2 linked regions of the Drosophila melanogaster genome follow. The protein of the gene in region 2 interacts with the protein of the main gene of each other region in a pairwise test. Each region holds a gene or a part of one and is shown on either strand. Other genes may lie near its edges.

Region 1 (5,374 bases), on a different chromosome or scaffold from region 2:
ATTCTCCATCCTTCCTTCCTACTTTTTTTTTTTTTTGAAATGAACCAAAAGCCAAGCTGGAACTAAACCCACCTGACACATGTCGCGTGGCATACAAAGTGTCCAAAAATCATGGCACAAAAGGAGGGGACAATGTGCTCTTTGTTGGTCAGCAGGTGATTGCTTCCTGTGTGTGTGCTCCACCTCCCAGCATGGCGACATTGCGTATACGCCACGGGTGAGCGGGCAGTGTTTGATGGACAAAGCCGTCGTAAATCTAATTAAATTTCACACAGCTGCCCAAACATTGAAGCGGACACTTGTTGGCCCTCGAAATTTTGGGGAAAGTCCCGGAGTCAAATAGCAGCAGGACCGCACCGATAGCTATCGGGGGGTTTTCGCGCGGATAATGTTAAAATGACAGGCCATGTATAAATGCGAAAGCGTGGCGAAACATGTTGGTCGTTTTCTCAGTTTTTTAGCGTTTTTGTTTTCTTTTTTTATTTTTTGTATTTTGGCCATTCAGGAAGGTGGTCGTTGGACGTTATTAGCATGCCATCATCACCATTGCCGGCTGGGCCAGCAGTTCATGTAGAACGTGCTCAAGTGGGCACGGTCGCGTACCTCATTATTCCCCCCAAGGACCTCCTACTAACACCACTCTCCGTGGGGGCTTCCCCGTAAAATGTTTTCATTTGGGAATGGACCCGGTGTTTTCGGTGGTCTCGTTTTCGTGCAACTAAAGAAGAAATCAGAATCAGGTCAGCGACAGTAACGGCGGTACCAAAAACTTGAAAGTCACTTTAAGGCTGCCACACAAAGCCGAGAAGAGAGCAGATGAAATAAATGTTAAGGTCAACATGGAAGGAAACCGAGATATGCTGCCCGAGCGTAAAGGCGGGAGTCAAACCAACAAGTCTCGAAATATTCACTTTGTAATTGGATGCTGTCGTCTGCTGCCTGCTGCATACCTTTATAGCCCAGTCGACCCTCAACAAAACCATACCAACGAACACCCACCGCCAGCGGCCATAAAAAAGGAGCTCAGAATGAATGCACATGGGCTTGTGTATGTGTACACCGCGAGTAAAAGTGCTGGAATCGAAGTGGGGTCCTTCAAGTGAGAAAATCCAAAGCGATGCAAGACATATTACAGAGAAAAACATAAATACTCTCCATATAATATTCCTTTAAACCCCAAGGAGTTTCCAAATCTTAAATATTTTAAAGTTTACATTGTCTAACCTATCTTGCAGTGTACCGGAGCCCAGCACTCTTAAATCAATACTTTTATTGTGTAATTTAAATCATTCAGTTTTCACCCAGTGTATTCGTATCTGTGAGTCTCCGTTGTTCTTCAGCGTTGTTTTCTTTCTTCACATAAAGTCGGTTTGCCTCTGTCTGTGTGTGTTCAGCCATTTTTTGTAGCCCCAAAGTTGAAGCGAATTGTCGTGTTTGTTTTATAGTTATTGCTTTTGTTTCGCTTTCGCCCATCGCAGTGCTCTATTGCCCAGCTTTTCCTACAGCTTTCTCCTTTTTTTCCCTAGCACTTTCCATTTTTTTTTTCATCCTCCTGCGGAGGAGTGCGCTCTTCTTGTCCTTGCCCCTCCTCCAGCTTATGCACATTTAATCTTATGACAGCAAAAATGTTGTAAAATTGTTTATGGCACTTTGCGACATGGTCAGTATTTTTACAGTTTACAGTTTACTCCTTGGGATCTTTTCATTTCGTACACATATGTTCCGGAACTACAGGAGCATTTACATGTTGCTGCTGGGCGGGAATGGGATTTGACGGATGGAATCTCGTGACGAGTGGGATTACGTGGATAATGGATGGAGGAATTGGGCAGCCGTGCGCAGGACCTTTGCAAAAAGCGACGAACTTGCAGGAGTGAAGAAAGTCACCAATGACACTTTAATTTCTTAACTGCATAGCATTCTTTTAATCACATTTCTCAGCTGTAAGTAGTTGCACTTAATTAATGGATACAGATTTGGGAATTGTGAGGTGAGTAAACTTAAAAAGAATTTTAAATGCACTCTGCCAACACGAAATATATGCAATTAAGAAAATTGCTTTAAAAGTAGCCAAATGACCATTTTAGTTTGTAATGATTTTTGTCAAACTTTAACTTTGCTAAAGAAATTATTTAGTTTATTCAAAACTTGCAGTAGTTTCTTTCACTTTGGCAAAACTTAAGCTTCCACAGAAACCCAAATTCATTTTCAATCAAGTTTTCAAAGCTTAATCTCCTTTATTAGTTGATGGCAAAGCTCTTAGCAAAATAAAATCATTGACAAAACTTAGCATACCATTTAATAAACTTCTAAATCAGACTATCCTTCCAAGTGGTAGAAATGAAGTGCCACATTCATTATTTTTCATTCGTTCTACACTGCTGTGATTTCAACTTACCAATTTCGAGAAAATGTTGGCCTTATCTGTCGTCGACAACCTGTTGGCTGCTTTTTCCCATTCACTTAAACGCTTTTCCTCTGATTCCGAATCTTATCTCTATTGTTGCCGCAATAATCAGGCGAATTTCATAAAATTCACTTGGCAAACGATTTGGTTTTCGTGTCAAAGCTCTGTCCAGTTCAATTTGGTATATATTTTAATCGAAATATATTTGCCAAGCTGTCTACATTTTGCTATATACCCGCATTTATTTGTATACGTTCCTTGTGTGGCCAGCAGATGTTTGTTAGTCTCGTTTTTGTTGTCGTTTAAATCTAAAAATTATTATTAGTAATTTGTTGGTCTGCAGACAGCGTATATCCCTCTCTCTCTCTCTCTTCTCTTTCAGGGGCTTTTCTTCTTCTATCGTTTTTGGGTGAAAATTGAAATTGGCTTTCAGCGCCTAAGAATTTTTATCACGATAATTTATGATTGGAATATGCGTGGTCAGTTAGCACTAAGTAAGTACATATATAGTAGACTCTCTCTTGTTAATATGGTATAGTATAGCTATAGTTCTGTCGAAAAATATAGTGTATTCCCTCCTTGTTCCTCAGGCTTCTTGTGTGTTGTATTTTTTTTTTTTTTTTGTTGCGAATTTTGGTCAGGTTATCTCTTTGTGTTATTGGGCTTTTCGGGCACACTTAGTGACTTGTAGCTTGGGGAGCTCTCATTATGGTCACGTTGAAACCGTTGTGGCACTGGCCCAGGCACACTCCACGGCGGAACGGGTTCAAATTGCTTGATTGCATTAATTATTCAGTGCCAACGTCGACGTCGTTACATCTACATCAGCGGCAGCAGGCCGCGCGCATGCCAAAGTTTACTTATGTAAATGCGCCGCGGTAGTCAAATAAACACAGAAACAGAAACTTTTCAGAGTTACAAGTACACACGCGGAGTGGCGATAGTAAAAATTTAAAGCATACTTTTCAGGTGAGCTGCGCTTTGATTTGCATCCAAAAACACAGTTAGCGCGCACACACACGCACGCACCAGGACTTAGGTGGCCAACACGCACACACTCGGACAAACCGACCAAACGACCAACCGACCGACCGACTAACCGAAATAGAAAGTACTGTGCTGGATACTTGTTGTTTCAGCGGCACGAACACCTAACTACTGCCACACTTGTTACGGCCTGGAGTTCAGTTCAGCTCAGCTATTGTTCAGCTGTTTTGGCTAAGTCTTTATTTGTTTGCCGTGCTGCTCTTCCGGCCAACATCACGTCCAGCTAGCGACTGAACAGTGGTTCCAAACGAACGGCGGCGACAACACTGCGTATACGCAACGTCCACAAGTCGGCTGCTTTATTTTCGGAATAGCTTGATGCGGCTGCGTGGGCAAACGAAGAGAAAGCAACTGGGAATTCCAAAGAGCGGGCAGGTGCTCTTGGCCAGAAAAGAGCAGTTATGGGAAGGGAATCAAGCAAGTGGTTGGGCCCTAAGCAAAACAATTGCCATGGAAGTTAATCATTTGGTGCCGATGGCGGTGTGAATACGGAATTCTTTATATACTAATTAATTGCATTACTAATGTATTATTCGACCGGCTCATAATCGAATAATGGAACTTTTTGACGTGAAACAATTTGTTTGCACAGCCAAGTGACGCGATACCGTACACATTCAGGTCAAAGGTTAATTTTTGTCCCTATCTCCCGACACATGTGAGGCCATTAAATAGCAGGACCAGCAGCTTGGTAATGTGTTATTAGAGGGGAGATGCGGCAGGATGGTAGTTGCCACAACAGAGGACAATTAATGAAGCAATCCACGAAGCAATCTGTTGCACTTTTGCCACGGCAATGCACGTAATTAAGTGTAAATTAAAACCAAGTTAACAGGTTAGAGGGCGAACGGAATGCAACGAATGGTGAATGTTCTAAGCGGAATTTTATTGAAATAAAATACCTCATTGAAATCCTCTACCAACATATTTTAACTTATTACTATTATTACAACTTTACAACAATCAGGGAGGGCGCTATAGACGAGTTCTTCGACTACCACATACCCTCTACTTAGCAGGGGTGATGTAAATGTGAAAGAGATTGCAACTAATTAAGTATAGTTATTTTAAAAAATTAGGCTTTCTTTAAATCGCATTAGTGAAAGAAGCTGTTCTCGTCTAATAAACATGGCTAAAAATAGGATTACCCGTTTACCCATCTAAATAAACGGTCAGCTAGAGCCATCTTTATGCTTGATCGCATTACAGTGATTATAGAAGTTGTTTACCCCAACCGCTAACCGCTGAATAGCTCCAAGAATTTGTTAGCCAACCTGGTCCTGTTTGCTGCCCATGGAATCGGGTTTCGCGCGAAGGTAGCGCAAATAAAAGAAACAAGCTTAAGCTCCTTTCAAATACCGTTCAAAGTTAGCAGAAAATCGATGCAATCGAAGCAACAGCAACAACAGCAGCCAACACGAAAGGACATCCGATTCGCAGTGGGAGATTTCGAGGAAAAGGCGGTGGGACAGAGATTATCTCGGTTGGAAAGTGAGAAAAGTTTTTAATTAAAATTCACACGCAATATGTTGCGCATACGCAGCGTTGCTCCGCCACCATCTTACCACAAATTCCTTGCTCATTAGCGTTCAAATTGTGCGCATATCATGTAATTTAGATTAGATTGAAATTGAAAATGTTAAGCGAACCAAGTGGCTGTCTCCAGCCAGCCATCGGAATTTCCAAGAGGGTTGATTTTGATTGCGTGGTCGGGGGAATTATTGCGGCTTTGGCTAAGCTCCTGCTAGAGAGTCCAACTTATAAATATTAATAAAGCCAGCAGCGTGGATCCTTCGTCCTGCACGGGCACATTCGTCAAGTAAATGAAGTCGTCATGAATGAAGCGGCCAGCAATAGAAACAAAATAAATAACTTGTGTAAAAATTCCATCAGTAAATTGTGGTCCTGCTCTACTCTCAA
Region 2 (5,715 bases):
CATACACATAAATCGCCTGCGAAGTGACCCTTGGCAATGGCGAAGGTAATTGCGTACTTACCGCTCTCAGCGGAACCTGAACCTAACCAAAACCAAGCGAACCGTAAGGTGGATTCGTATTCCCTCGATTGCGTGCCCGTTTCGGGAATAGATTTATCGTCTCGTTTGAAATCCGCACTTTATTTATGGTAGCTTGGCCACATTTCTTTGCGGATCTCCCACTCCAATACTTATTATTTATTATTCTATCAAACGTTACGTTACACTGTCAGCACCAGCACAATTCACTACGCGCACTTCGAGGCGATTACGAGATTTCGAGGCGATCAAGATCCGAGAGCGCTGGTCGAGAGGCACTACCGTACGGGGCGAACTCAAGAAAGAATCTGCAGCGGTGCAGTTGCTCTGAAGATTTCGGAGAAGACCTTCTTCGTATCGGACAACGTGCAACTTGTTGCACGCAACATGTTGGTCTGAGACGACTGCTAATACAAAATGTTCAAATACCTTACTTGATATTTTATTTATATATTAAGTAAACCTACTTTAAATAGGTTTAACATAACTTAACTTTAAGAAGTTTTTTATAGAGCAGAAAACTTTCTTTAATATCTTATGAAAAATAATATCTTCACAAAGTCATACGATCTCGAAGAAAACCGTTTCAGATTTGGCCTTTTATTAAAAACCACTAAGCTACATTTTGGCAGACAATAGTCAGATGACTTAAACTATACAGATTCATTAACACCAATGGATTCTATGTTGACCTGAACGACTAAAACAGCCTTGACCTACAAAACTTTTCCGACCTATCAACTAAGCTTATTAAACATGTAAATATGTTGTTCTATTCCTCGGGACGAGTCTCGCTGTAGAAGCCCAGATTCATTGTGGGAATCATGTTGCTGTAGAACGACAGTTCCGCTGCCGAGGGACGCACTAGCTGGGGATCCTGAACTAGCGGAGCCGTCATAGCCACTGGAGCCTTTTCGGCCATTTTTAGGGGTAAAATAGCAGCCTCTTGAGCCCGCTGGGCCATCTTGTGCTGCAACTGATGGACTTTGAGGTGATTCTCCAGCTCAATTTGATGCAGGAAGCTAATGCAACAGATTCCGCACGTAAAGCTGGGACCATGAGCCTCTAGCTCATGGCGCTGCAGTTGCTCGCGTCGGTTGAAACCTTGATTACATGTCTTGCAGGCGAACAGCGAGTCCATGTGAAGAGCTTGATGGCGTTGCAGGTCCCTCTCCCGTTGGAAAGTTCGATCGCAGACATCACAGTGGTAATAGCGTGAGTTTTTGGTTTGTGCGGCAGCCTTTTGTTTAGCCTGCAACGCCTGCTGCTGCAGATCACCCTCCATCGGGGGAATTAGACCCATTTGCTGCTGCTGCTCCATGTCCCGCCTGGTATGGACTTGCTGGTGGGCTATTAGCTTATCCCTGCGCGAAAACGAGTAGGGACAGCGTCCACATTGGAAAGCCTTTACCTCTCCGTGCGAACGTGTGTGGCGCATCATTTCCACAGCCGTCTGGAAGGATCGCGGACACTGCTGGCAAACAAAGGGCTTGACACCGCTATGAATGCGCATGTGCTTGGTCAGATTTGTATTCCGCGAGAAACTCTTGGAGCAAACGTTGCATGTGAAGGGCCTCACGCCAGTGTGCACGATTGTGTGCTTTTTAAGATCGGAGCGGCGCACAAAACCCTTCCGACAGTGAGCACACACATACGGACGGTCCGGATCATGCAGTGTCTTTATGTGCGAAATCAAAGCAGGCCGGGTAACCAGCTTGATGTTGCAAAAGTTGCAGCAGTACGGTGCGTTGGGATCGTGTGCAGCCAGCTCGTGCTCTTGACACTCGGCGGGCAGAGTGAACCCAAGATCACAGTATTGACAGAGGAACGCTCGTTTTGGCCGTGCCTCCGTGGTGTTGGCGTTGTTGGCAACGGACTGTTGAGCCGCCATCTGGGCCGCATCCATGCCCAGTGGCATGTCGACGTCTTCGCCGTTCTGGCCATCTTCCTCGTCCTCCTCATCGTAGTCTTCCTCCTCCTCCTCATCATCGTCGTCATAGTTTTCGTACTCCCCATCGGAGCCGAGTGCGAATTCCTCTTCACTGCTCTCTGCCAGATTCTCTGGATCAACTTCCACAATAATGCAGCCCTCCTCGGGTACGAATACTCCGGGGTTGCCATTCAGGCCTGGACGGTGCTTCGGATGATCTTTAATCATCTCCTTCAGCTGCTCCTGCAGGGACTGTTCCCGCTCCTGCATTCCTTTTCGCAGCTCGAATGCCTCTTCGAGGATCTCCAGACACCTTGAGCAAATGAGCTCCGACAAACATTCGTTGCGATCGTACTGTAGGTGGAGAAGTTATTCATGCACTTTTTCCATGGATTATAAATGGCCCACTCACCTGAACGCTCCAGAGACTCTTGGAAACCTCTGCAATGGACACATCCTTGCAAAACTGCACGGTGTCATCGAAAATGTTTAGCGAGTTGGGATCCGTATTATGGTGGCACAGGCGACAAGTGCTCACATCCTGATCCTGGGTCATGCTGATATCCGATGTATGCATTCTTCAATCATATGCATTTAAGCCGGGATTGCAATAAATTATCCAATTGTTTAAGCAAACAAAAGCCACACCGGTAGCAAATAAAACGCGTTGGTCAATGGCCAATCTACCACGATAGTATCGATATGTCGCGAAATTAAACAACATGGTCCAATCGATTGTCGGAGGAAATCGATAAGCCGCTGCACAGTGGGTTACTTAATTGAATTATAGGAATTTTTGAATATTTGAAGTTTTTAAATTAAACAATTTTGTGTTTTATTAAAGTTCAGATTTGTACCTTTCCATTTTAAAATACTTTTACTAAAATTGTAACAAAGCCATATCTAATACGCAAAATAAACGTCAGCATCTTTGGTAGCAAAAACGAAACTACTTATGTGTAATTCTTTGGGGTTGAAGTTTGATGATGCTCAAATTCAATAAAACGCAGTTTCTTTCTACACATTAAAAATTTGTAAAGCTGTTTGCATAAAATATAAATTATAAGACTTATAAGGCTCGTGTCACACTTTTAAATCAGAAATGCACTTACGATTAAAGCAGTGGGCGGCAGGTACCTAATTGATGCGTACCTATGTAGGTACACGCCGTGAACACGCGAAGCGAGAGCTTTTTCAATTGCCCGCGGACTCTTGATTAAAGCGGAGGTATTTTTCGAGTGCCGGCACTCTTTCGGCGAAAGCGGATGATTGTTTAAAAATCTGTGCGTACGCGCGTATATTCCTTTAACTAATCGGGATTGATTGCTTGCGCGGTTATTGCTTAATTGCAGTGAGATTTTTGGTTCTATTGAAAGTGGCTAATGTTCGTTTAGTGGAATTTATTGCACTGCAGATGCTGCAAATTATACTAGAACACACACACACACATCGGCAAAACAACTGTTACGCCTACGCAGCAGCGGCAACAACAACAACAACAACAGCAGCAAGGGAATTAGCAGCAACAATTTTCCACCCATAGAGGGAAATAACTGTTCCGTGAGTTTATACAATTTGGGCTGTATTTGTTGTTTTCCACCCACGTACTTTTTGTCTTTATTATGCTCCTGCCGCTTCTCCTTCTTTCGCTCCTTTTCCCTACCCACCTCCCCTCTTCCACTTCTTTTCTCTCCCATGCGGTTAGTGTGTTATTCCCGTCCTTAAGGAATAAAAGCAACAGCAACCCCGTGTACATTTATTGTTCTCTCCCCCGATGCACGGAGAGAAATTTGATTTTGATGTGTAATCAGGTTCAATTTTATTATTTAGATTATATGCATAAAATGATGAACTGATTGGACCACATTGCTAAAGGAAACACAGGGTTTTTTTTTTACAATTTTGAATCAACTACTCCAAAAACATAAACACCGTATGAATGATGATCGCAAATTTCAATGGAATAGTTTTTTTTTTCTGTGTACCTATCATCCTGTTAACCCAAGCTTTGCCCTCGCACCCTGTAGTTCTCATGAGTGTTAAATTTTCTGCCACCAAGTCCCTGTTAATTTTTGGTTATTGGGATTCCTCACTTTTCACAGTTGCCGTTGCGCGTATGAAAATGAATTTGTGCATTTATAATTCATAAATAGGACTATAAAAAAGAGAATTTATAATTTCATGAATTTACCGAAATTGGGGTCTTTAAAATGCGTCTATTAGCCTATTTAGGTAGTGATTTGTAGTGAGTTAGTAGTGAGTAGAACGAAAGCACTCTAGCGTATGCACTATCTGCCCTAAAAAGTTTGAACATAAAGATAAAATATAATTGCTTAAGTGAAATAAGCGCAAAGATTGCATTCGAGCTTAATGGTCTGATTAAAGTCCCTAGAAGCAAATCTATATGATATCACCACACCGAATTAGTAAATATCCTTACCCTACGAGACTTCTGCTAACTTAATATTTACACTTGCATACAATTACCCCTAAACATAGGGAACATGCCATTTGCCGGCCACATGAGAGTGACTTCCAATTTTGTGTACAATGAAAAACAACTGAAGATTGCTGTCCTAAACATTCCACTCGGCAATTAAGTGCTCGGCAATGATCATTCGATGAGGAAAGTCCAATCAGCAGATCAAATGAATCGGTGCCGTGACTCAAGCTAGGTCTAGTTCTACAGCTTAGAATCACTCTCCCCGTTGACTTTGAACTTGACTTGAAACGCTGACGTTAAATTGACCTGAACGGCAATTGGTGGCTGTGGGGGAGGTCCAGACCTCATGTCCGGACTTAAGTTAATTTCCGCGGCCGCGTCACATGCGTAGCAACTGTGTAACAAAACCATGCCCATAGTTTCCCAGCGTGAAATCATGCCACAATCTTATCAGTAGCCTAAAGCTTATGCTGCCTGAATGAATCGATGTTCCGCTGTCGCACACCGAACGCTTCGCTGAGATTGTCGTGCGTCGAACTGATACTGATAATGGGTGTCAAACCATTTACCCCCTTCGCAATATTAAAAGCAGGCGATGACGGTGGACATTGTAAACAAAAAGTCAAACATGTGCAGTAGATAAATTGATTTTAGCACACTGTCAGAAATGTAAATTTAAAACTTAACCCGTATGAGTACAAAGTGTTTTTCTAAAATTTCTTCATTTGCAATCCAGTAACTTGTAGGCTGTAAAACCATGTCGGTAATTTTCTTGTCATTCAACCCTCTAGAATAATCACAGTAAAATCAATTCCACAAATGGAGCTGAATATTTCTCTTACAATAAATGTAGTTTCCCATATCATTGTTTATTTTTCGTTGTGTACCAAGAACCCAGTAAGCGCAGGGGTATAAACTACGATAAATACGTGGAAATATTATCGCAAAGCTCTTGTTTTCTGCAGAACTAATAACATAAGCCATTTATGACCAATTACTGAGCCGCAATATCGAAAATCTAATATTGCCGTGCAAATTAAGTACAAAGTTGGAAATTATAATATGCTTTCGGAGGAACATGTGACATTCACAAGCGTTACACAAAAAATCAATGAAAATCCAAGGAAAATGGCATAACCATTAGATCTCAGCGCTTGTAAAATCCCAAATAAGAAGACTTTACTCGTTGAGTTTTTGTAAGAAACTGATTTTATTTGGAAATATCTTCGGTTTAAATAGGTGACATGAGAATCGCATCTTAAAG

Evidence for each region. The genes of interacting proteins can lie anywhere in the genome.
Region 1: the proteins of prg (region 2) and Stacl interact in a two-hybrid assay, tested with the Drosophila melanogaster proteins (one large-scale study listed by BioGRID).

The regions. Positions count from the first base shown.
Region 1 is NT_033778.4:15,399,408-15,404,781, reverse strand, and holds the start of Stacl (Stac-like), read right to left. Parts: upstream 3,687-5,374; 5' UTR 2,399-3,686; intron 87-2,398; exon of another isoform or gene 1-86.
Region 2 is NT_033779.5:8,461,480-8,467,194, reverse strand, and holds prg (piragua), read right to left. Parts: upstream 2,708-5,715; 5' UTR 2,586-2,707; coding exon 2,421-2,585; intron 2,363-2,420; coding exon 851-2,362; 3' UTR 501-850; downstream 1-500. UniProt on the Drosophila melanogaster protein: May be involved in transcriptional regulation. The function of this protein is unclear.